7 linked regions of the Macaca fascicularis genome follow. The protein of the gene in region 5 interacts with the protein of the main gene of each other region in a pairwise test. Links are inferred from orthologs where the notes say so. Each region holds a gene or a part of one and is shown on either strand. Other genes may lie near its edges.

Region 1 (3,500 bases), on a different chromosome or scaffold from region 5:
TTGCATAGCTTTAAATGCCATCTATATGCTCTCAACTTAGAATTTTATGTCTCCAGTCCAAACGACCCACCTAAACTCCAGATTCATAAATTCACCTGCTTGCTTGGCCTCCATTTTGATGTCTACTACCCCAACATCTTCACCCCAATTTTTTCTATCCCAGTTATACAACCTCACGCTTCCAGTAGTTTAGGCCATAAACATGGGAGTCGCTTTTAACTCCTGCCTTTCTCCCCAAATTTACATCAAGTCATCAGCAAATGTTGCTGGGTTTGTCTTCAAAATGTTTCTACAATCTGACTACTTCTCACTACCTCCGCTGCTATCACTTTGTCCATCAACTCTCACTAGACTACTGCATTCGCCCTCTCGTTCTTCTCCCTGCTCCACCCTTCACCCCATTCGGGTCTTCCCAGCTCAGCAGCCACCGTGATTCTGTTAACACACAGGTCAGATCCAGCCACCTCTTTATTCAAAGCTCTCCATTTCACCCAGAGTTCTCACAGTGTCCTATACAATCTGTGTACCTTCCCTCTCTCCTACCATTCTCCACCACTGCCTCTCCCCTCCTGATCTCTTCCCTCTTCCTCCAGTTCTCCCTGAGTGCTCCTCCTGCCTGTGGCCTTGGATTTGCATTGATCAGAATGCTCTTCCCCCAGATAGCCATGTGGCACATTCTCCTCCCATCCTTCCCTGACCGTGCTATTTAAAATTATGACTGATGGACTATTTTAGGAATTTCTTTTTGTATCTTGTCTCGATAAATTCAGTTGTAATAGAAACTACCAGCCACTACCAGGATGAAGGAAACCGAACTTGCTGTCGAGTCTGAACATGTCACCAACTAGCTGTTGACCTTGGGCAACTTGATTTTGACCCTTGAGGTTTAGTTTCCTTATTTGCATAATAGGAATAATGTCCTGGCCACTCACAAGATATTATGAGATAATGTATATTATATACAATTACAAGTCATGCATTCAGCCCAAGGTAATATATAGCTGGACCCCTTTTTCTTCTCCGGAAGTGTAAAAGTAGCTGCATGAAGGAGGAGAATTTGACCCTAAGCATTCATGAAAAGCTTACCTTTTAGACCACAGAGTCCACACATGGCTGTAAACACTGTAGATTCCATTTCAATATTCCTGACGCCAGCTTTATATGCTCTCTTCAAGTAATCTAACTTTTTTTCTCTGGAAAAGGAGCACAGTGCTCCATCTAGTCGGCCTTGGCCTGAAAGGGAGGGGAGAACGTTTAGTGACTTGATGTCCCACCCCACTGTCAGTGGCGTCACAAGAGGCTGGCTGTTGGCTGGAGCCCTCCGCGGCTGTCTCTAACTCTGCAGTGTGCTTCCCATGTAGGATAAACTGAGCTGTGTGACTCTTCCTACCAGAGGACCATGGAACGAGGCTGTCCCTGGCTCAGGAGTCTCATATGTAGGAAGGAGCGTCCATGGCCGAGGGCCTCAATTCTGGGGTCAGTCACTGCTGAGTGGCTATGGTAGCCAGCACTGTGCCCAGGCAAATCAGGAAGTGGCGGGTTGCTGTGAGAGCTGCCCTTTGAAGAGAATCTCAGGTTGCTCCAATGACTGGGGAATGGCCCAGGGACGGGTGCTGGGAGAGAAAAAGAGGCTTCCAGACACTAAGCTACTTGAGGATCAGGACAGTGTTTGCACATTGCGCCTCTCCTTATGCCCTTTGCGACACTGTCCGCCTTCCGCCTTTCCGCACACCTCTCAGGCTGCATGCCACCCCTTGTGATCATGTTTTCCTTTCCAGGCTGCTCCCAATATTCATTCGTCACTGAATTTCACCTGTATCCTCCAGTGCAGGCAGAAGCAAGAAAAGGAAAGTCTGATGTCATTACTCCTCCTGTACGCTGTGCACACCCAGAAATAGACCTTCTAATGCCTCCCCACTCCTGAAAAGGCCTGGATTCAAGCAAATGGCCTAATAGCACGCGGTTGCCATCCATTATTTTCGCAATCCCCTTTTTGGTGCTCTTTCCTCTCTTTTTCTCCCTTTCCTCTAACTCTTTCATGCTACCTTCACCCCGGCAGTCTGCTTCCCCTTGTTCCTTCTCTTCTCATTAGAGCTGCCTGCCGACACCTCTGACAGAGTGCGATTTAAGCTGATTCAAACAAGACCTCGCAGGAGCCACGCAGGTAATGCCGACGCAAGTGTCTGGTCGGAGGGGAGCAGCCTCACCCCCGCCTCAGCAAACGTAGCCCCAGATGTGGGTCAGGGCTTGCCAAGGCTGCCATGCATATATTCTACATTTTTAAATGTTAGTTCTTTCAAAAAGCCAGAAATGTGGATGTTCATATAACATTTCCAGATATTGTAAATGTTGGCAAAATAATTCACATTTTTTAAAATGCTGTGCAGGCCAAAGGAAACATTGACTTTAACAAACTGCCATTTGCAAACTCTGCTTAACATATCAGTGAGTGACCCTCGGGATGGAGGGACTGTGAGTCAGTGGGCTTAAACAGAGGGTCTCAGCCCTTTCAGACCCCAACAGCCCTGCTATTTTACAACAAGTATGTGGTAAAACCACCTTTACTAACTGGAAGTAAAATGTATAGATAATATGACCTATCTCCAAACATAATTTCTTAAAATCCAATATAGTATTTTAAGTTTGATCCAAAGGGAAAATAAAAATAATTTATAATGAAATAGTATGGATTTTGAAAAGAATATAACTATACTGCCAGATTTTCAGAATGCCCTTCAAGGCACGGTACCAACTCTATGTAGATTCTTTCTTCTGGGACGAGAAAAGTTGGGGGTCTGTCTTTGAAGGTTTCTTCCCCTGGGCCTTTCATCTCTAGTAGCAAGCCCGCTACATAGCAGTCACCTTCCATTTGTCTCTAAACTCGGTCTGGGGGCCCCTTATTCATGGCTGAGAGACAAAACCCCACTCGGATCACACCATCCAGTGGGATTTATACCTCCTCCCCAAGCATTTCTCCCCATTTTCTGGCCCACTCTTTCCTGGGGACAGAATCCCTTTTAAGGTACAGACGAATGGCAGAAACACAGAATCAGTATACTTCCCTTCTCTTAGAGATGCTAATCTAAGTTAAAGGCATTCAACAGAGATAAGATTTTGTGAACATCACTAATTACATTTTAGTGTTCAATTTGTTCTTGGAGGATTAAATTCACCCTCAATAGAAATTCATTCTGGGTGTTTCTCTGCTGCTCGTTATGTCCTTGTGTCTTTATGCTTTAGTAAGTAAAAAAAGGCTGTTTCAGTTCCTTTTTAATCCACAAATATTAATTTTCTAAAGGAGAGCTTTTAATATAAATTATGGGTTTGAATAACAAAGAGTTGCTGGCATTTTTCTGTTGCCTTCCCAGTTTATAAACTGTTCTCACCTTCATAAAAATCATAGGTACACATTGTATGTCCAATGAGGGTTGGGAAGTTGGGGATTTCTTTGCTACAGTTGAACAGTTCTTCAGATAGTTCCTTGTCAAGTTCCGTACTTC
Region 2 (3,500 bases), on a different chromosome or scaffold from region 5:
AGATATAGATAAATGATCCCAAACTCAAACTAGCACAATAATTTTATTCAGAGAGGGTAACATATGGTTAGAAGTCTGGGCTCTGAAATTTAACATACTTATGTTTAAATTCAGGCTGTACCATGTAAACTGGGTATGGGTATATGACCATGGCCAAGTTGCTTATCCTAAGACTTAATTTCCTCATCTATAACGTGGAGATAAAAACAGTGTCTTGCCAAGTGGTATTACAGAAGACCAAACGTGGATCTTACATGGGAATTGCTTATTATTGTGACATGCACAGGAAATGGTCAATAAATTTTAACTATCAATTCTGTGTAGGCAAATCCATGTTTTTAGTAACATAAGAACTCTTCAATCGTTATAATAAGCTTAAGATGATCCAAAGCATTCTAAGAGGACTTTAAGACTTAATAGTGGTACTATTAAATTCCAGTGCCACAAGGCGCATTATTTAATAAGAAGTCGTATAATATTAATACTTCTAAGGAAGTCCCCTTATACATCCTACAATGTCTTAAAAGAGAGAGATGAATTTCAGTGCCTCCATTTTAAATGTAATTTATGACAATTCTCTTTTGGTGTTTCTTTGATTCTTGGTTACTACAAGTCTTCCTAATCAAACTTTCGTTTCTTTTTTTTTCTTCTTCTTCTTTTAGGAATTTAAAATTTTATTTTTGCTTTATGATTGTGGGAAATATTTACATGGTTTCAAAGTCAAATTTACAAGAAAAAAGTATATTCAAAGAAATGTAGCTTCTGCCACTTTCATTTCTTTTTAAAGAGGAGGTGGCCAGGTAAGATGGCTCTTGCCTATAATCCCAGCACTTTGGGAGGCTGAGGCAGGAGGATTGCTTGAGGCTGGGAGTTTGAGGCCAGCATGGGCAACAAAGTGAGACCCCTCTTGATAAAATAAAAAATTACCCAGACATGGCGGCACATGCCTGTAGTCCCAGCTACTCAGGAGGCTGAGGCAGGAGGATTGCTTGAGCCCAGGAGGTCAAGACTGTATTAAGCCATGATCAAGAAACTGTATTCTGGCCGGGCGTGGTGGCTCATGCCTGTAATCCCTGCATTTTGGGAGGCCGAGGCGGGCAGATCACGAGGTCAGGAGATCGAGACCATGCTGGCGAACATGGTGAAACCCCATCTCTACTGAAAATACAAACAAAAAAAAAAATTAGCCCGGCGTGGTGACAGGCGCCTGTAGTCCCAGCTTCGAGGGAAGCTGAGGCAGGAGAATGGGGTTAACCCGGGAGGCGGCAGAGCTTGCAGTGAGCCAAGATCGCGCCACTGCACTCCAGCCTGGGCGACAGAGCTAGACTCCATCTCAAAAAAAAAAAAAAAAAAAAAGAAACTGTATTCCTGCCTGGATGACAGAGCGAGACCCTGTCTCAAATAATTAAATAAGGAGGAGTACTCATTTAGAAAACAAAGAAAAAAAAGCCCATGTATACCCCTGAATAAGATAATAAGCTAAAATATCCCCCCACATAAAAACTTTAAGCCAAAAAGCATTTTAGCAGTAGAGTATCTTTTTCAGGAATAATGATTTCTGCCCCTCTAGAATATTAATATATCATCTGCTGCATAGTTGCCAGAAAAATCAAACGAGAAAATCAACAGAGAAATCCAGAAGCCATTCTTCTAAGTCTACTGAGCTTCCTAACCAAATTAATACCTTTGACCTTTGTAAGAAATAAAAATTACCATAATTAGGGCATGTTCAACTGATCTGGAAAAAAAGGAGATGGACTGTTAGGACTGTACAGATCAATCCATCTGATGAAGAAATTAAATGTTCACTGTACAACAACATGCGATGTGAACAATGAGGCTCACAGTCCACACCCTCAAGCTTACTCTGGGTATGAAGCAGAGACGTATATCTGTTTGTGTGAGATTTAGGCAGCTGAATTAAGAACTAAATCCAGTTGTATCCTCTGCAAATGGGTCTATTTATAGTACAAAGTATTCACGTTTTACTCTTTCCTCTGTGAAGGCCCACCCAAAGAAATACTTACAAAAGCATTAAGAAGGTTTTAAAGCTAAATATACAGAAAATAAAGTTACTTTTATCTTGAGACTTCTGCACATTAGTGGTGACTGTTGGAAGTTCCTTCACTGATAAAGCTAGTGCAACTTCTAAGTCTCTCTGGTAGAGCTTGTCATCTAAAGCCATCCTAAAATAGATACACAAGTAATGATGAGTTCTTCAAAACATCAGTCGCAACTGAAGAGCAAAGTTTGAGATTTCCCTAAATTACTATCCAAGAGTTGCTAACCTCACAAAAATGTTTTTAAACAATCATCATCATTAATAGATATTTGATGATGGGACTCTTAAAATGTCACAGTATCACGTTATATACAGAATAAGATGTTTGAAATAGGAGGAGCATGTGCCTCTTTGTAATGACTGTTGTGTCACCTACCAGCTGTGTCCAGGTGGGAAACACCTACTCAACCCAAAACAGACTTGGTTCAAACATCACTTCCGCTTAAAACTCTTCCTTGACCTCACCCACTCCCCTTTAGCAGATATTATAGCTCTCACATTAAATTAAAATTATTATCACTTTTTTACATCTATTCTTCCCAATCCAGACTTTAACAAGTATTTTACCAAGCACTTACTTTGTACAAGGCACTGCACTAGCTGGAATACTAAAAGTACCTTCAGGGAGTCTGCAATTAAAGGAGGAGGGTGGGGAAATAAGACAGGCTAATAATTATACTACAAAAGGCAGATCATAAAGTCCTATTCAAGTTGGTCAAAAGTGCTATGGAGTGTAAGAGGAAAAAAACATCAAAGAAGGAAAAGTTCCATAAAAGAAGCAGCACTGAGACGTACCTTAAACAATTTATATTTTTAGAACAGTTTTCTTAAGATATAATTCACAGATCATAAAGTTTTAAAGTAAACAATTCAGCAGTTTTTAGTACATTCGCAGAGTTGTAAAACTACCATCACTACCTAATTTCAGAACATCTTTACTACTCCAAAAAGAAACACCATACCCATGAGCATTCCCTTCCTGTTTACCTCTCTCCCAGCTCCTAGCAGCCATGAATCTACTTTCTGTTTCTATGGATTTGCCTATTCTGGACATTTCATGCAAATGAAATCGTATAATATGTGACCTGTATATCTGGCTTCTTTCACTCAGAATGATGTTTTCAAGGTTCATCCATATTACAGTATATATCAGTTATCAGTAGTCATTTCTTTCTATAGCTGAAAAATATTCCATTTTGTGGATACCACATTTCACTTATCCATTCATTAGCAGATAGACATTTAGATAGCCTCCATTTTTTTTTTTAGCTATTATGAATAATGTTGCTAAGAACATTCATGTACAGGTTGTGTGGGCATGTTTGCATCTCTCTTGGATACATACATAGGCTGGGTCATATAACTCTATGTTTAACATTTTGAGGAACTGCTAAACCATTTTCCAATTTGGCTGCACTATTTTACTTTCCCATCAGCA
Region 3 (3,962 bases), on a different chromosome or scaffold from region 5:
GGCGGGAAGGGGCCTGGATGGGCATTGCTGTTGGCTAAGAGGCGGCCATAGGGAGGAGGTGGTGGGGGACCCTGGCTCCACACAGCCTGGGATGGGAGAGAAGGCTGAGTATACTTGGGGGGCTGATTGGAGACAGAGAGGCTTGTTGGGGGAGGGAAAGAGTGGGGGTAACTGGGCAATGCCTGGGAAGCTGGGTAGGGGGAGGCAGAGGAAGAGGAGGAAGAACTGGAAGAGGAGGCTGCTGCAGAGCTACTACTAGAGGATGAATAAGGAAACCTCATGGGGGGTGCTGGGGCAGAAGAGGAAGCAGGAGGCAGAGAGTGGGGTGAAGGAGCCAGAGTCGGGCCCTTCTCTGGGCCAGGAGGAAGTCCACCCATACCCTGCCCCATGGCATGGGGAGAGGGCAGATGCCCAGGTAGTGGTTGGGCCCCCAGGCCAGGGGGAGAGGCTGAGGCATTGTTGAGGGGTCTCAGGGCAGGTGGGGGAGGCAGGTTCGGGGTCACATGGGGGAAGTTGGCTGGTGGTGGAGCAGAAGGCAGGTTCCCACCACCCACCGGAGTGTTAGGTGGCTTAGCTGGGGGAGCACCGCTAGCCCCAGAGCTTGATACTGAAATGGGAGTAGTGGGTGGGGGGTGCTGCTTACCCCCATTAGGGCCCCCCACTGATGAGGCAGCCCCTCCCCCCTTGGGACCCATTGGGGGTCCAGACAAAACTCCTCCACCAGCGCCCCCAGGATAGAGCTGTGGGTGAGGGGGAGGGGCCCCAGGAGGAGCCTGGAACATTCGAGATGTGGGGGGCTCCATGGGAGCATGATATCCAGTGGGTGTCACAGAAGGATGGGGTTCAAAGCTAGCCTCTGGCTGTCGAGGGGTGCTGTCTGGCGGTGGAGGGGAAGGAGGAAAGAGTGGAGGTGGGTGGTAGGGGCGGGCTGGGCCCTGGGACAGGCCAGAAGATGAGTCGGAGTCATTCTCCACACTTCCAGGGCTGTAGATGCTGGGGGACGTGCTTCGGTTGTCCTGGTCAATATCCCTAGGGTCGCTGCTGCCATCATCATTAAGGCTCCGCCCATCCAAGCTATCCAGATCAGAGGGAGACTGTGGCCGAGGGAGTTCCTGCTGTAGAAAAGGGAAGCCTCATTTTTTCTCTTTTCCTTTCCTGCTTCCCTGAGATTTAGGGCCTGTCTTGCATAAAATCATTTCCCCTCACAGCACACTGTTGTACTGTGACGTGGTGAGTACCTCTTGCCATCTGGGGATTTCCCACTTTCCCCACATTCTTGGCTGCTCCTTAGCAGCCAGTCTTGTTTCTCTCCTATAAAACCCTATTCCTTCCTCAAGGATCCATCTCAAGCACCTTGTCTTTACCCACAGCTGACTCCAAATCCCTGTCTTCCACCATCTCATAACCACCACTTTAACCATCCTCCATCCCCCAAGCCCTTGGTTCTTAGACCACTTCTGGCCGGGCACAGAGGCTCACACCTGTAATCCCAGCACTTTGGGAGGCTGAAGCAGGAGGATCACTTGAGGCCAGGAGTTCCAAACCAGCCTGGCCAACATGGTGAAACCCTATCTCTACTAAAACTACAAAAATTAGCCGGGCGTGGTGGCTCATGCCTATAATCCCAGCTACTCGGGAGGCTGAGGCACAACTGCTTCAACCCAGGAGGCGGAGGTTGCAATGAGCTGAGATTGTGCCACTGTACTCCAGCCTGGGTGACAGAACGAAACTCTGTCTCAAAAACAAACCAAAAAAAACAATAAAAAAGAAAGACCACTTCTGCATTTTCCTTAAGATTTATTTGTTCCTCCCACTAAGACTTCTCACCCAGAGACTAGAATCCCCCAACTCTTCTGGTCCCCTTTGGCCCTGCCAGGTCATCTGGTGGTCTGTCAAAGTTCTAAGACTCTCTCTGGCATATTAGAGACAGAACTGCTCTCATAAGCACTATGATCTGGCCTTTCTCTTATGTCCCAGGAGAGATCCAGCTAAGAATAGTGAGCATAAGGAAATCTGAGAAAAGAATGATCACAAGATGGGTCAGGATGGCGACAAGGGTCTCCCACCTCAGTTTTGGTCTTTTTTGGTGCATTGGTCTCCTCACTTTCACTCTCTGAGATCTCCTCACTCCGACCCTGCTTGTTGACCTTTGGGGTGGAGGCTTCCTCTACTCGGGCCTTCTGTTAGAGAGAAAGAAAATTCCTGTCTTTTCCCTACCTCCCAAGTTTCACCGTTACCCTCTGCCAAACAGGAAGTTCCCCCGACAACACACACACCCCCTCAGCCCCAGTGCCTGGGCATCCTGTGGGAGGACCTGAGGACAGAATACCTTGGCTGTCTGCCTGGACTTCTCAGCTTTGCCATCACTGCTGGACGTGCTGACCCCTCCAGGGGAGGCCCGGCCCCTCGATCTCAGTTCTTCCCGGGGCCCAGGGGCCTCTTTCTTCCGTCCACTCCTCATTGACATCTGCAGGAGGAGGAAGGAGGTAGGTAACACTGTTCTTTACACTGCAGCTAACTTTATGGTGCACATTATTTGTTCTTCTCTAGACCCTTCCTCCTAGCTTGCCTGCCCCGCCCCTCATCTTTCACATCTCTCATTTTAACTCACCGAGTCTTTATTCTGTCGTGTCTTCATTCTTCAGGCTGTGGAGACCCCATTCTCCTCTGCCTGGGCAGCTGAATACAGAAACTTCTCTGCTCCACCCCAAGTTCCCCACAGCTGTGGTCTGGGAAGCAGGATCTCCAAGTTTCCAGTATAGGCACCTGGAACTTTTGCAGGATCTGTTTTCAGTGAAACCTGTTAGAAGGAAACCATCAGAGTCTCCCACTGGGAGAATAGAGTCACAAAGGAATACTATTACGCTTGTCAGAGAACTGAGCAAGCGGCCCAACCCTAAGCCTTTAGGCCAAGAGGTACAGATACCACAAGACATTGCTGGCTTGCCCCATGGGCCACCTTAGCTATCTAAAAGGCAGGGAGATTCTGCTTAAAGTATAATCTCTTTCACCTCTGTAGAGGGCAGAAAATTCAGATGTACCTACAAGCTCCAATCCAGGAGATGACACAGTTTGACCCTTCATGATCCCTAAAGGATATTTGTGAACGCACACATTCCACGGAGCCTTGCAAAGGAACATAAAGAAATGGAGCGGGGCATGGTGGTTCACGCCTATAATCCCAGCCCTTTGGGAGGCCGAGGTGGACGGATCGCAAGGTCAGGAGTTCAAGACCAGCCTGGCCAACATGGTGAAACCCAGCCAGGCGTGGTGGCGCGTGCCTGTAATCCCAGCTACTCAGGAGGCTGAGGCAAGCAAATCACTTGAACCTGGGAAGCAGAGGTTGCAGTGAGCCGAGATCATGCCACTGCACTCCAGCCTGGGTGACAGAGTGAAACTCTGTCTCAAAAAAAAAATGACGTTCAAGTATTAATTTATTGAGTACCTTCTTTATATCAAGCCCTTCACACACATGATTTCATTTAATATTTACAACCAACCCTGAATGGTAAGCATTATTACCTTCATTATATAGGTGAGGGAACTGAGGCTCAAAGATGGTGATTGTGACTAGCTCAACCTCACACAGTGAGGAACCAGTGACAGAGCCAGAATCAAACCCACGTCTGTGACTTCAAAGCCCATGCTCTTTCTTCTATACTTTGCTATATTCTCCTCAGAAGTTGGTGGGGAGAATTCTCAGAAGGCCTAGATCAGTCACAGAGATATGAAAAGAATCTTTTCTCACATCAGAGTAGGTAGAAGAAGAATGTCCCATTCTATAATACAAAGGAACACAGCCCTACCAATCCCAAGACTAAACCTAGGTAGCCCCAAATTGTAGAAGTTCACTTTTGAGAGCCTCATAAAGGACTCATTCTCTAGTACTTGAGCTCCCTAAGGCTAGAGGAAAAGTCAGGGTTTTCACATGAATGATTAAAGACTCAAAATATCCGTGAGCA
Region 4 (2,551 bases), on a different chromosome or scaffold from region 5:
TATAAAGAGTAATATGGGCCGGGCGCGGTGGCTCACACCTGTAATCCCAGCACTTTGGGAGGCCAAGGCAGGAGGATCACAAGGTCAGGAGATCGAGACTATCCTGGCTAACATGGTGAAACCCCGTCTCTACTAAAAATACAGAAAATGAGCCAGGCATGGTGGCACCAGCTACTCGCGAGGCTGAGGCAGGAGAATTGCTTGAACCCGGGAGGCAGAGCGGGAGGCGGAGGTTGCAGTGAGCCGAGATGGTGCCACTGCACTCCAGCCTGGGCCACAGAGCTAGACTCCATCTCAAAAAAAATAAAAAAATAAAAAAAGTAATACGGCTGGGTGTGATAGCTCACACCTATAATCCCAGCACTTTGGAAGGCGAAGGCAGGCAGATTGCTTGAGCTCAGGAGTTTGAGATCAGCCTGGGCAACATAGTGAGATCCTGTCTCTACAAAAAACACAAAAGTTAGCTGGGTGTGGTGGCACACGCCTGTGGTCTCTTAGGAGGCTGAGGTGGGAGGATTGCTTGAGCCCAGGAGGTAGAGGCTGCAGTGAGCCGTGATCATGCCACTGCACTCCAGCCTGGGTGACAGAGTAAGACTCTCTCTCAAAAAAAAAGAAAAAAAAAAAACAGTAACATAACAACCATCCATGTAGACACCACTCAGGATACTGTTTAACACCGTCTGGTGAGTAAGCATTGAAGTCTAATACCAATTCTTAGTGCTGGTGAAGTGGAGAGAGACAGGACCTCTTACACACTGCTGATGGGCATGTTAATTGGTAAAACCACTTCAGAGAGAAGTTGGCAATGTCTTCTGTTTTTTAAAGTCCTTTCATGATGAAATTTAAAAATGGGGAGCCTACAGAAGCTCTCCCCAAACTCAGGAGAGTCCCCACATCCTGGAGGGCATGGAGCAGAGTGCAGCCTATCATTGGCTCATGACTGGCGGCCACATCCCTTCTGCTGAAGAGGAGGGGTACCAGGCCCTGCCAGTCAGGGCTGCCCTCTCCCTTTTCTTCTGTCTCCTGCAGGTGCCAGCTGTGAGGACAAGCCAACTGCCGGAGGGCTGGCCCAGGAGGCTGAGGAGGGCCTCTTTACATACATGTTCCGGCCATCCCAGCACACACGCAGCCGCCAAGTGACTTCAGCCCACCTGTGGTTCCACACTGGGCTGGACAGGCAGGGCACAGCAGCCTCCAATAGCTCTGAGCCCCTGCTAGGCCTGCTGGCACTGTCACCGGCAGGACCTGTGGCTGTGCCCATGTCTTTGGGCCATGCCCCCCCTCGCTGGGCCGTGCTGCACCTGGCCACCTCCGCTCTCTCACTGCTGACCCACCCCGTCCTGGTGCTGCTGCTGCGCTGTCCCCTCTGTACCTGCTCAGCCCAGCCTGAGGCCACGCCCTTCCTGGTGGCCCACACTCGGACCAGACCACCCAGTGGAGGGGAGAGAGCCCGACGCTCAACTCCCCCGATGTCCTGGCCTTGGTCTCCCTCTGCTCTGCGCCTGCTGCAGAGGCCTCCGGAGGAACCAGCTGCCCACGCCAACTGCCACAGAGTAGCACTGAACATCTCCTTCCAGGAGCTGGGCTGGGAACGGTGGATCGTGTACCCTCCCAGTTTTATCTTCCACTACTGCCATGGTGGTTGTGGGCTGCACATCCCACCAAACCTGCCCCTTCCAGTCCCTGGGGCTCCCCCTACCCCAGCCCAGCCCCCTTCCTTGCTGCCAGGGGCCCAGCCCTGCTGTGCTGCTCTCCCAGGGACCATGAGGCCCCTACATGTCCGCACCACCTCGGATGGAGGATACTCTTTCAAGTATGAAACAGTGCCCAACCTTCTCACGCAACACTGTGCTTGTATCTAAGGGGTCTAAGGGGGGTGGGTCTTCTTTCTTAATCCCATGGCTGGTGGCTAAGCCCCCACCATCATCAGCTGGGAGGAAAGGCAGAGTTGGGAAATAGATGGCTTCCACTCCTCCCTCCTTTCACTTCTCTGCCTATGGGTTACCCTCCCCATCCCACTTCTGTCTCAATAAAGAACACAGTGCATACAACTTGGCATACGTTCTCCAGCTTCTCCGACATGGAGTTGGGCCCCCAGGAGCATGGGACTGTGAGATCCCAGGTCACTCAGCCACACTTGACCCTGGAGACATGAAGTTCAAGAGCTATAACTGGATGTGTATCGGTCGGGAATCTACGATGCTTGGGGATGGCACAATAGTGCTCCAAGCTCCTTGGAGAGCCACCCTGGAGACAGAGCTGGACTCGTGCAAGCTGAACCAGACATGTCAATCAGGGTGCCTTCCCTGCACACCTAAGGGAGACTGCTGCACTCACGTGCCCACATCCAAGGCAGCCATAAGTCCCATAAGTCCCCTCCCCTGCCATTCTTTGCCCCAGCTGATGGGCACTTAGCCCAAGGTCAGGTGATTTGTAGCCTGGTCAGAGATTGTGACCTTTGGAGCCACACTGAGACAATTGTCCAGAGTTGGCCAGATCTTGGAGTCACTTGGGAAGCTCGGGTGGGATGTAAGGGAGAGATATATGTGTT
Region 5 (2,885 bases):
TGCTGATATGAACAAAGCACTGTTTGAGGTAACATACCTGTACCCCATTAAAACTTTTTAAGTAGCTACCATAATTTAACCCCACTTTACACATTAGGAAACTGGGGCCCAAGGTCACACAGCTGGTTAGTGGGGTAGAGCCGAGACTGGCACTTAGGTGCCTGAAGTCTGGCTGCAGAACCAAGGCTCTTAACCACTAGGCTATGAAATAGTAAATTTATTATTTCATTGTGCTTTTTTAAAGAGGTGAAAAGTGGTCAGCATTTTAGTCATTCTCCTGACAGTTGTAAGAATCAAAATGTGGGCAAGAGGGGCAGAGCATGGGAAAGACTGTAATCCAGAAGCCATATACCCAGTTATTTGCTGTGATTTAGAGTATAACTCTACCACACTTAAAAATGACAACACACAGCTTTCTGCTATATAATTAAAGTACGGAATGAAACAGGAAAATAACTTTGGATTTTATCAAACTTAGAGCTAAAGCAGACACAGTAAGATTTTTTTAATTTGCCAGAAATTCTTTTAATGAGAATTATAAAAGACCAAAAACATTTTTTTGCAAACTGCCTTTTTAAACAAATGATTTGCTTTTAATTACAAATACTGTGCATGACGATGCCTTCTTTTGCAAAACCAATAAATACAAGAACAAATTTTAAACATGTGATTTATCCAAGATATTTGAAAAAGGAAACAAAAGCCTGATTTGCAGTACTTATAAAAATCAATTTATTCTCTAACCTTTCAAAGATTAAGCTCAAAGGTGTGACTCATCCGTAGAAGAGAGAAAGAGAGAGACCATCTTACAGATGCTTTAAATAGCTTTTGATCATTTTTCCGATGTCACCTTTACTTTCTGGAACTCATAGCTTCACAAAGTAGCTGATTTTAAAATATTTCTAATGAACTGATTAATGGGGGAAAAGAAAATATTGAACACATGTTACAAACTTTTACCATAACAAGTATGCATATCAAAAGACACTAACTTTAAAATGGTACAAAAAAAGTGAAGAAAAACCTGAATTACAGAAAGGAAAGTCAAATTTATTTAATGAAAAACTAAAATTAATAAAAATTAGCAAATACACACACAAAAAAGCACACAGCAGCACTATGTATTGACTCACAAAGGGGAAAAGCAGTGGCCCATGACCACTCAAGATGGCTTGTCAGTTAAAGGAGAAAAACCCAAACACGCACACACCCACGCACGCACACACTCCCACGCAAAAACAAAACAAAATAACTATTTTTCAACAATACAATCAATCTACAACAAACACAAAACTCAGAATTATTTTACAATGCTTCCTTTCTTAATACAAAAGATGCCCATCTTGGGTGTATATACATATATTTTTTCAGTGGTTTACTGTTGACTTATTTTTAAATATATTAGTGTTACTACATGCAACTGTTTCCTGTATTTAACAGCCTTTCCTTTCATTTACCTTCATGTGTCTAGCTTCCACCTACCAAAAGAATTTTAGGTTGGCAGGCAGATGGGTGCCTTATTTTCTGTGAAACTGAAGTTTTAAACACTGGCCAGAAAATGTTTGATTGCCATTTCAACACATGGAAATAGTTACATTGATGCCTAAATTGCCATTTTCTGCAAAAAGCTGTGCAATGCTGGTGTCAAAGACTAGGCAGTCGCTATTCATAATGGCTGTTGCAATTCCTTCATGAATAGATCGAGGAGTCGCTTCCCAAGTCAATCGTCGCCTGTGACCATTTAGCTCAAGTCGGTAAGCAAAATTTTCAGCTTGCTTGCGTGTTCCTATCAGCTGTACAATTGCAAAGAACTGCTGGTGACCATCGTATTTTTCCTGTTTCTCCAAGACTAACATGAAGTGAAAGCCAAAACAGGACTGCATCATCACCCAGTCAACAGCACCAGGAAGATTAATGTCTGTAGCAAGGAAAACTATATCCTCTCCCTGTAGGGTTGTAATGGACTTATGCTGATGCATCAGATGGGGCATTACAGCATCCAAAGAGCCTTGCCATTTACAGGAAGCACCAGGGCACGGACAGGAATAAGGCCTAAACTCACAGAGCTCTTCGTGGTCTGCTTTTTCTGTGTGTGGCAGAGTTATTTCACATCCAGAAGAGGCATATTTACAGGGGAAAAGTACTGAATTAGCCACTTTCTCCATAGCCAAGTTGCGAATGGATCCCAAAGGGCCCCGGCAAGTTGGACAACATGTGAGCTTTGGGCGACAGTTGCTACAAACAAGATGGCCACTCTGACATTGAAGAATGGGTGGTAACACATAGTCAAAGCAGACTGGACACTCAAAAAGACTCGCCAAGTCATTGTTGGATGCAGTTGTGCCAGTCAGGGCAGGTACCCTCTGGGATGGTGGACACTTCGAGGTACCGGTAGGTAATGCTGTAGCAGTCTGACGGCTCATTTCTGAAATAAATACATAAGGAGGCAGGAGAAAAATAATTATAACCATGACTTATTTTACAAATAATGTTTACATGCCAGAAGTACTTAAAGTTTCATGCAAAATTTACTGAGCAAAAGAGAAAGAAAAATAAATAGAATTTAAAAAGTAACATACTAAAAAATAAAATTACACTGAATGTGCACTTTATTAGGATCTGTACACTGGATAAGCTCTCTTTTCAAAATATTCCGGAAAACATTTGGAACTCCCTTAATCGTCTTTGGATAGACTACATGGAATAATAAATGCTAAAATAGAAGATGGACCATAAACAACTAGAGAAACTATACAAGGAACTGAAGTTTAATCGAATCCGTTTTGCTAGGACTCTCTCCCTGAGACTCCCTTACTCTTATTTCTTTCTAATTTGGAGTCAGCTATTGATAGGTATAGGGAGTTACAGGTGAAGTCCTGGATAAA
Region 6 (4,210 bases), on a different chromosome or scaffold from region 5:
AACTGCTGAAAACACAGTTGCATTAGAGGCAAACACAAATACAACGAAATTAAGAAAAAACGCTTTCATATAGCCCATAACAAGATGGTTGGATTTAAAATCAAAGCTTCCTCACAATCATGTAGCTTCAGATTTAAAACACTTGTAATTTTGGACCTACGTAAGAGTGTAATTAATGTTTTAAGTGATAAAGCTTTGCATTCTGAGTATCAGCCTGTGATTTAAGAGAAAAATGTTTCAGTCTGAAGTAATCTAACAGTAAGACAAGCTTCTGAGCAGCACCTCCTCCTTCCTTCACGTGTGAGAAATATACTTCTTACAAGAATTACTTTTACGAAAAGTAAGTTTATCAAGTTTAACATCTAAAAAACACTAAATGGCAACATATCCCCAGTAAATATCTGCTTCAAGTAACTGGAAGCCATTAACACTAGTAAAAACACAGAATCCAAAAGAATTTTGGACGTTTTAGCAACACAATACTATGGCAACATGGCAGAGAAAATCATTCTGACTTTTAAAAATAAGATAACACACTACACTTTTAGTTTAACTGTTCCTTAATTAAGTACAACCTAACTTTGATTCGGCCTCTCTATTAGGAAAAATGCACTTGAGTCCACAGTCCAGAATATTTCCAATTCCACGGATCTCATGCAATGTACAAAGAAATTTCTTTCACAGAGACGACAGCCCAGCAGGCGATAAAAGATACATGTAAATCATCAGGCGCAAGGAGTACAAACTCAACTGCAGAACTGTTCAGAGGGCACAGAAATCAAACTTAGGAAATTCTTTTCTTTTCTTTAGTAATGCATGCCCATTACTTTTTCACAAGCCCATTTTATTAAAGAAATAAAAATGAGCCTGCAATTAAAATAAAATGGGGGAGCTCCATAAGCCTATTTCTGTTCATCAATTCAAATATTCTTAAATTCTTGGAGACCGTAAGAGTCTCTCTACCACCATCGGTCGACTACACACACACCCTACTCTGAAGAACTGGCTGAAACAGGCAAATAGTGGAGGTCACTGTTTTAAAATATAGGTATCTATATACAAATAGAATATGTCTGCCTCATCTTTCACTTCCAACAATAAAAGAGCCAGGGCGAGCACTGAGAGCAGCAGATCCGATTCATCCAGGGAACCACGGACTATCAGTGCACAGTAATTCCTGCAAAAGGTAACAGATCTGACCAGATCATGTTGCTGCCATTTCCCAGAGAAAAGACAGACCAATTGCCCCCACACCCATCTTCATCTGAAATACATATTCCAGGAAAAGTAGGAGACTGCTCCCGGGAAGGAAGGCTTAATTTACCGTGCATCCCAGCAGATGATTCAGGAAGCCACAGGAGGAGAAAGCCAGGGGAACAGGGTCCCGGGTAGGCGTGCCTCCAGATACCCCTGTATCCCTGTCCGGCAGTACTTCCTAGGACCCTTCATACCCTGAGCTGGCTAGAGTCGTGTGAAAACGGCAAGGACTCCCTTCACCACCGTTCCAAACCTCAAGCCAGCCACCAATGAGGGCCACCCAACCCAACGCCCCCCAGAAGGGTGCTCTTTTGCCGGCCTCCTCTCCCCTACTGACTTCTCCAAGGGCCAGCCTGCAAGGCTTGGCATGGGCTGCCCACCCCACCCCGGGGAGGGCTGACTGCCCCGCCAGGGCTGCTGGAGCCTGGGCACAGGAGAGACAAAGGGCTGGGAGGGTGAACTGGGCTCCTCCCCTGGGACCACGGAGCTCCTCTCCTCTCAGGTGCTGGGGTCTGACCCCAACCCTCTTCCAAGGTCCCCAAACTTCGCTAACAATCCAAGCACCTGTTCCCTTCGCCTCTTCTGCATTTCAGTCCCTCAAGTCCTTCCATTTTCCTCCAGCTTTTTCTCCAGTACCTCAGACAATCCAAACACCCTACTTCCCCGAGTCTAACACGCTCCCCTCCCATGAGATAATTCAACCTCGTCCCCAACAAAGCCCCCAGATGGTCGCTGTCCCCTACCCAGAAGTTTCCCCTGGGTGTCTCCGAGTCCCCAAAGATTTCCTTCAAGTCTCACCCACGCGCCCCAGCCTTCTCCTTCCTTTCCGAGTCCCCAAAATTCACATCGGGGTCTTCCCCTAGGTGTCCCACAGCCTCCCAGGTCCCCGTGCAAACGCCCCCGGGGGCCATTCGGGCCTCCGTCTCCGCCGCGTCCGCTAACAGCAGAGCGCACGGAGGCGCCCCCCGGGCCCCCGCGTTTCCACCCGGCCCCCAACCGCCGCCGGCCGGCAGTTAACGGCCGGCGCCTCACCTTGGTTCACCAGGCGCAGGGCGTGCGTGAAGGAGGGGTCCAGGGAGTCCTTCTCCGCCATCAGCTCGGGTAGGTACTTCTCCTCCATGCTCGCCGGCCGCCGGGCCCGGGACGTGGACTCCAGGCGCACGGGCGGCGGCGCCAGGCAACCCCCGACTCCGCCCGCGCCCCCAGCGGCGCGGACCCGGGGGCCAGACGCGGCGGCTGCGGCCAAGCCGGGCAGTCGGCTGGGAGGAGGCGGCGGCGGCGGCGGCACGGGGGCGGGAACCGGCCGCTGAGCCCCGATCCCCGGTGGCCGCCGAGTGCCCAGCGCCGGCGGCCCCCGCGCTCCGGGCGCGGGCCAAGGAGGAGCGGGCGCGGGCGGCGCGGTTAGGCAGGCCCTCGGGTCGGGCTGGCGGCGCGCTCGGCGCCCCTGAGGCAGTCCACGGCGATCCCCGCCAGTCCCGCCAGCACCTGCCAGCGCCCGAGCCACAGCTGCAACCTACACGCCGCGCGCCTCCCCGCGCACTCTGAGCCGCCGCGCCGAGCGCCCAGCGCCTGCCGCTGGCCCCGCCCCTCCCGGCCCCGCCCCGCCCGGCCCCGCCCGGCCCCGCCCCGCCCCGCCCGGCCCCGCCCCGCCCGGCCCCGCCCCGCCGCCCCGCGCCTGCGCACTGGCGCCCACCGCCCCACCGCGCGCCGCCTCCTGGGGCCGCTCTCGGCTGCGCGCCCGTCGGGACTAACCGGGCGTCTGCGAGAAGGGGTGCTTCAAGGGCCTCTCCCGCGTGCCTGGCGCCCACCTTTGGCCCTGAGGGTCGAGTGGGGAGCCCCACGACCCTCTTACAGCCTTCCAGATGCACGGACTGGGAAACTGGGGCTCAGAGAGGTCAAGTGGCTCGCCCAAGGTCACCCAGCGAGTGATCCTGGGAAGAGGGGACAAGGGTCGAGCTGGAGCTGGGAAGGGCGCCCCAGTTCGCCCCAGCCGCGCTCTGAGGAAAAGCAGCGGGACCGTCCTGCTCTCTAAAGCTCCGTGGACTTCTTTAAGTTATGTCGCGTTGCTGTCCCCTCGTATTTACAAGAGAGTAAGGCAGGGGCGCCGTACTTTCTCCTCTCCTGAGCTCAGAGGGCCAACCTCCTGCGATCCGCCAGCTCAGAGGTCTGTTACATAAAAGCGCGTGTCCTTCTGGGCGTCTTTGTCATCCCGACTTGCTCCTGGGTTGTCATTCTCTTAGGTCATAAACCGGCTGTGCCTGGACACAGCTGAGTGAGCCGCGTCTGAGCTCATCCGCTCCCGGGGAGAGGCCCTGGGACGCCCCGCCTGTCGGTGGCAATGCCCTCTGTCCCCTTCCGCCCACCCCCAACCCCCAGCAAATGCGCTCCCAGGCCATTTCATATTTCCCGAGGCATGTGGAATAAACGTCCCCCAGGAAGGCCAAGGACTTCAGTCCTTGCCCTGACGTTTTTCCTGCCTTCAAACACCCAGCTCAAGTCCCAGCCTCAATGTCACCTTCCCTGGACAGCCTATCAGGACCTCCCTGGCAAAGCAAGTCACTTCTCTGTGTCCCCCCCAGTTCGGTCAGAGGTCATTCACAGTCAGCTGTAATTCTGTTTTCAGTAGACCATGAACATCAGGGACAGAGCTTGAGTTTTGTTTTTGAGGGGGAACGTCCCCAGCGTGTCATACAGGGGGCAGGGATGGAGGGTACTGGAAATGTCTCTTGGAGGAGTAAGTCAGTGGCATGCCACTTTCAGCCAATGGCCTGAGGACAATCCCCACACTCCCCCAGGCAGCCCCCGCCCTCCCAGTGCAAATGGAGGCGGCTTTACAAACCTCGAAGGGAGTGGGAGGTGGTAGAAATCTTGGAAGCTCTAAGTCCCAGCCCCAGTACTCAATTGCCCTCACTCTCAAGGCCCCACTCCTCCCCTCTCCGGGTAAGGTGCCTTT
Region 7 (3,500 bases), on a different chromosome or scaffold from region 5:
TTCAGGCCAATGTTGACCAAGTCTCGAAAGACAGGAAACCAGTCCACTGTGGAAAGGAGAAAGGTGATGAGGTGCCACCCACTCTACACCTCACCAGCTCAGCAGATCGCTCCTGTCCCTAGGTGAGGATGGGCCCCTGTTGCTACGTGCGTGAGGAGGGGAGCGGGTCAGTGGGGTGGAAGGCAAGGAGCCTCGTTCTGAGAGCTAAGGGAGCACAGGAGTCTCTGCTATGAGCTGCGTGGCTGGGCACATTGAGCCACCCACTCTACCCTGCTCCGGGGAGAGGATGTGGCAGTGCTTTGTAAACTTTAATACTATATGTGGAGAGTAGTCTGAGGCCAGCATAAAGACATTTGCCTGTAATGCTGGAAATACCCTGGGTCCTGCACACTCATACAAGAGGCTGTGGATGGAGCCTCCTGTGCCTATTTGGGCCTCTCAGCCATTCCTAGAGGTGTTGGTTCATTCATGCAGCAGGATGTTACTGATTATTTATGTGCCCAGCACTGAACCGGCAGGTACTAGAGGAAATAAATTAGCCTAAGCATTGGCCTCTCCTCAAGGATCTCACAAACTATTGGTCCAATAGGAGAAAGCCCAGAATCCAGCTAAATTCGTAATTACCCTATTCTTGCCTTGTATGACCTCTCCAGGTTGGCATTCCATAGCTGATGTCCACTCAGGGAATCTTTGCTCAGTTCCCGGGCCACCAGTGGTCTGGAATCACTGGGTTTGCAGAGCAAGCCCTGGTGCCCACCATACCTGCAGCACACCCTGCAAGCCACCACCTGGCCTCATCCTGGTCTGTTCCCATACAGCACTGCTACTCAGCCCTTATAATAAGCAAAGTTCGTGTTTCTGAATGTTGCCTATGTGTTAGACACCACGTGCACCATCTCATGAAGCGCTCATGCCCACCCCGTAAGGTAGGCACTCTTCTTAACTCCATTTTGCCCACGGGGTCACTGAGGCTCAGGGAATTAAGAAACTCACCCCAAGTCCTCCTGTTAGAAAGTGCCAGAACCAGGATTTGAACTCAAGACTGTCTGGGCCCAGAGCCTGGGCTGTGAGCCGCTGCTCTAATCCTTGTCTGTCTCTCTCGCTGTGGAGTCTTACACGTGGCGGTCAGTATTTATCAAACGCATGGGGGAGTGTGCGCTTCCCTGCTGCACTAGCGACTCACCCCACCCACCCTGGGGGTCCCTCCATGCTCTAAGTCTGTCCTGAGTCTGGCTCATTCCAGACATAGAGTGAATTGGGATCACAGACGTAGAGATCCAAAGAAGGGCCCACTGAGACAGACACGAGGAAACCAAGGCTCCAGAAGGGAACTGGTCTGCCCAAGGTCACATAGGCAAGAAAGAGGATTCCACTTAAATGCTGATGTCTCCCTAATGTGCCCACCATGTCACTAGTCTTTCTGAGCACAATTCAGCTGTCCAAAGAAAGGCTCAAGGAAAGAGTCCTTCCCTTCCCGAGCCTGTTTTCCCAACTGTAAACAAAGGAGGTGGTCCCCCCGGCTCAGACAGCCCGAGATGTGCAGCCAGACCTCTTCTGACTTGTACATCCTGAGTGGGGAAGAGGTTTCTGTTGGCACCCAGAAAAGGCGTGACCCAAACATGTGACTGGAAGGGATACACACCAGGGAAAGGCTTGGATGGACAGTCCTCTGAGGAACCCCATCCTCCTGGGCCCAGAACGTACTTAGTCACCCTGGGCACTCAGATCCCGAACCACACTGGGCCACAGGACTCCTACTGAGCTCGCTGGTGCCAACCTCAGGCCAAGGAGCGGCCCAGAACTCTCCTTCATGCTCCGGACTTGCTGGCTGCCCAAATCTAGCCCAGGTTTTAGAGTGAGGAAGGAAGCATGATAGTTTTGGGTGTTTCCTATTTGCCACATTCATAAAACTCTGCATGTGAGGGGTGAGGTGACTGAAGCTGAGGTGGGAAGGGAATGGCCAAGCACCCAGAGCTTGGACGTGACAGATTTCAAATGCAGGTCTGACAGGCTCCCATGTGGTATCAATTGTGGATCAAAGGAATGAGCAAATGAGCGAGCCAGGGGATGGACGAACCTTCAGGCTGTGGAGTGAGACCAGTGCCCCAGAGTCAGCCCCACCCAGCCTCGCCCCTGGCAGCTCCTGCCCTCAGCCTGCCTTCCTCTGCTCCCTCATCCCAAGGCTATGGAGTGGAGATACAGAGATGAGCCAAATGCTTGGTCTCTGTGCAGGGGCCATCCCATCAGGCCGGAAGGGCTGAGATGATGCGACAGGCAGAGGCCAGTGGGGGTGCAGGAGGGAGGGCAGTGACCCACCCTGACACCTACCCAGGGTGTAGAGGATGCGTGTCATAAGGTTGAGGCCCATGAACATGGCCATCCAGCCAGCTGCCCGCAGGCCCCAGGTCTTCATGGAGTTGCTCCTTAGTTCTCTATGAAACACCTCCTGCAGGACAAGGTGGGGCAGGTCAGGATGCTGAGGGCCAGCGGTGCACCCAGTCGGCAGGGCAGGTGCTGAGGGGGCTGGACCAACTCGGGAGCTGTTGGCCATTTCCGAACAGGCCAGAGGGAGGTGGGGCAAGCCTCCTATAGGGCTAAGTCATTCTGCCCATCTGGCAGAGCACAGGGCAAGGCATGAGATCTCTGGAAGGTACTGGCCCTCCTCAGCTCAGAGGCTGCCAGCACCTGGAGCCCTCAGCCCACAGTCTCACCTGGAATGAGCAGGACCCTCCCCACCACCCCTGAGCAGGTCTGAGTGTGCCTGCTGGGCAGCATGCTCCGTGCTATGTGTGTGATCTGTTTAATCGTGGACCCTCTGCAGATGGCCTGGGACACCGCACCCGCCTTCTCAGGCTCCATCGCTGTCGCTGTCCCTCTTCCTGTCTGTTAAGACGCTGCAGTTCTTTAGCTGCTTCAGTCCATACTTTCCCCCCGAACATCCCATCTGCTTCCTTGGCCTCCATACGCTGTGACCCTCCAATTTAAAGCTGGAGCTCTGGCCCTCTCCTGGGCCTCACAAACCTGTGGCTCCCACCACCTCCTCGACATTTCCACTTGACATCTCGGCCTGTCCAGCACTGACACTGGTGCCTTCTCCATCTCAGCACATGGCACACCCACCCACCCACTCACATCTAGGGGAAAAGACATGGCCCGCTCCTCCCCCATCACCTCATCCAGTCCAGGTCACATATTCCCGAGTCTCTCGCCACCATCTGCCTGCAGGAGCCTTACTGGCCCTGCTTCTATCACCCCACTCCGTGTTCTCCACACAGCCACCTGCCAGAGCCCTGCCACATCCCCCCAACACCAACCCTGCTGCTGGTGCCCTGACCCCGCTGGCTGCTGTTCCCAGTTCAGGTCGAGCGTCCTCTCCCCTCTGTGTATCTGTGCATGGGTTTGCTCTGCCTACAGCGATTGCCTGCAGTCATGCCTGGCCAGCTTCTTACATAGTCTTCCAGCTTTGCTCGAACCCCATTTCTTCAGAGGGCTTTCCTTGA

Evidence for each region.
Region 1: the proteins of SIAH1 (region 5) and UPP2 interact in binary tests that used the Homo sapiens proteins (3 or more experiments, as listed by UniProt). The two-hybrid records come from large-scale screens. The link is inferred for Macaca fascicularis from reciprocal best matches to the Homo sapiens genes SIAH1 and UPP2.
Region 2: the proteins of SIAH1 (region 5) and RAD51AP1 interact in binary tests that used the Homo sapiens proteins (3 or more experiments, as listed by UniProt). The two-hybrid records come from large-scale screens. The link is inferred for Macaca fascicularis from reciprocal best matches to the Homo sapiens genes SIAH1 and RAD51AP1.
Region 3: the proteins of SIAH1 (region 5) and ATN1 interact in a two-hybrid assay, tested with the Homo sapiens proteins (2 studies listed by BioGRID and IntAct). The link is inferred for Macaca fascicularis from reciprocal best matches to the Homo sapiens genes SIAH1 and ATN1.
Region 4: the proteins of SIAH1 (region 5) and INHA interact in binary tests that used the Homo sapiens proteins (3 or more experiments, as listed by UniProt). The two-hybrid records come from large-scale screens. The link is inferred for Macaca fascicularis from reciprocal best matches to the Homo sapiens genes SIAH1 and INHA.
Region 6: the proteins of SIAH1 (region 5) and KHDRBS3 interact in a two-hybrid assay, tested with the Homo sapiens proteins (3 studies listed by BioGRID and IntAct). The link is inferred for Macaca fascicularis from reciprocal best matches to the Homo sapiens genes SIAH1 and KHDRBS3.
Region 7: the proteins of SIAH1 (region 5) and TMEM43 interact in binary tests that used the Homo sapiens proteins (3 or more experiments, as listed by UniProt). The two-hybrid records come from large-scale screens. The link is inferred for Macaca fascicularis from reciprocal best matches to the Homo sapiens genes SIAH1 and TMEM43.

What each region holds. Positions count from the first base shown.
Region 1 is NC_088386.1:53,595,542-53,599,041, reverse strand, and holds part of UPP2 (uridine phosphorylase 2), read right to left. Parts: coding exon 3,387-3,500; intron 1,234-3,386; coding exon 1,087-1,233; intron 1-1,086. UniProt on the Homo sapiens protein: Catalyzes the reversible phosphorylytic cleavage of uridine to uracil and ribose-1-phosphate which can then be utilized as carbon and energy sources or in the rescue of pyrimidine bases for nucleotide synthesis.
Region 2 is NC_088385.1:5,402,313-5,405,812, reverse strand, and holds part of RAD51AP1 (RAD51-associated protein 1), read right to left. Parts: intron 2,692-3,500; coding exon 2,641-2,691; intron 2,187-2,640; coding exon 2,077-2,186; intron 947-2,076; exon of another isoform or gene 928-946; intron 1-927. UniProt on the Homo sapiens protein: Structure-specific DNA-binding protein involved in DNA repair by promoting RAD51-mediated homologous recombination.
Region 3 is NC_088385.1:7,870,146-7,874,107, reverse strand, and holds the start of ATN1 (atrophin-1), read right to left. Parts: upstream 2,801-3,962; 5' UTR 2,639-2,800; coding exon 2,612-2,638; intron 2,487-2,611; exon of another isoform or gene 2,468-2,486; coding exon 2,330-2,467; exon of another isoform or gene 2,252-2,329; intron 2,181-2,251; coding exon 2,067-2,180; intron 1,116-2,066; coding exon 1-1,115. UniProt on the Homo sapiens protein: Transcriptional corepressor. Recruits NR2E1 to repress transcription. Promotes vascular smooth cell (VSMC) migration and orientation. Corepressor of MTG8 transcriptional repression.
Region 4 is NC_088386.1:115,506,176-115,508,726, forward strand, and holds the end of INHA (inhibin alpha chain), read left to right. Parts: intron 1-1,029; coding exon 1,030-1,862; 3' UTR 1,863-2,051; downstream 2,052-2,551. UniProt on the Homo sapiens protein: Inhibins and activins inhibit and activate, respectively, the secretion of follitropin by the pituitary gland.
Region 5 is NC_088394.1:44,266,633-44,269,517, forward strand, and holds the end of SIAH1 (E3 ubiquitin-protein ligase SIAH1), read right to left. Parts: intron 2,426-2,885; coding exon 1,575-2,425; coding exon of another isoform or gene 1,472-1,574; 3' UTR 501-1,471; downstream 1-500. Other genes in the region: LONP2 (lon protease homolog 2, peroxisomal), read left to right, coding at 1,472-1,591. UniProt on the Homo sapiens protein: E3 ubiquitin-protein ligase that mediates ubiquitination and subsequent proteasomal degradation of target proteins.
Region 6 is NC_088382.1:145,088,316-145,092,525, reverse strand, and holds the start of KHDRBS3 (KH domain-containing, RNA-binding, signal transduction-associated protein 3), read right to left. Parts: upstream 2,801-4,210; 5' UTR 2,378-2,800; coding exon 2,290-2,377; exon of another isoform or gene 1,332-2,289; coding exon of another isoform or gene 1,325-1,331; intron 1-1,324. UniProt on the Homo sapiens protein: RNA-binding protein that plays a role in the regulation of alternative splicing and influences mRNA splice site selection and exon inclusion. Binds preferentially to the 5'-[AU]UAAA-3' motif in vitro.
Region 7 is NC_088376.1:152,403,601-152,407,100, reverse strand, and holds part of TMEM43 (transmembrane protein 43), read right to left. Parts: intron 2,447-3,500; coding exon 2,329-2,446; intron 47-2,328; coding exon 1-46. UniProt on the Homo sapiens protein: May have an important role in maintaining nuclear envelope structure by organizing protein complexes at the inner nuclear membrane. Required for retaining emerin at the inner nuclear membrane.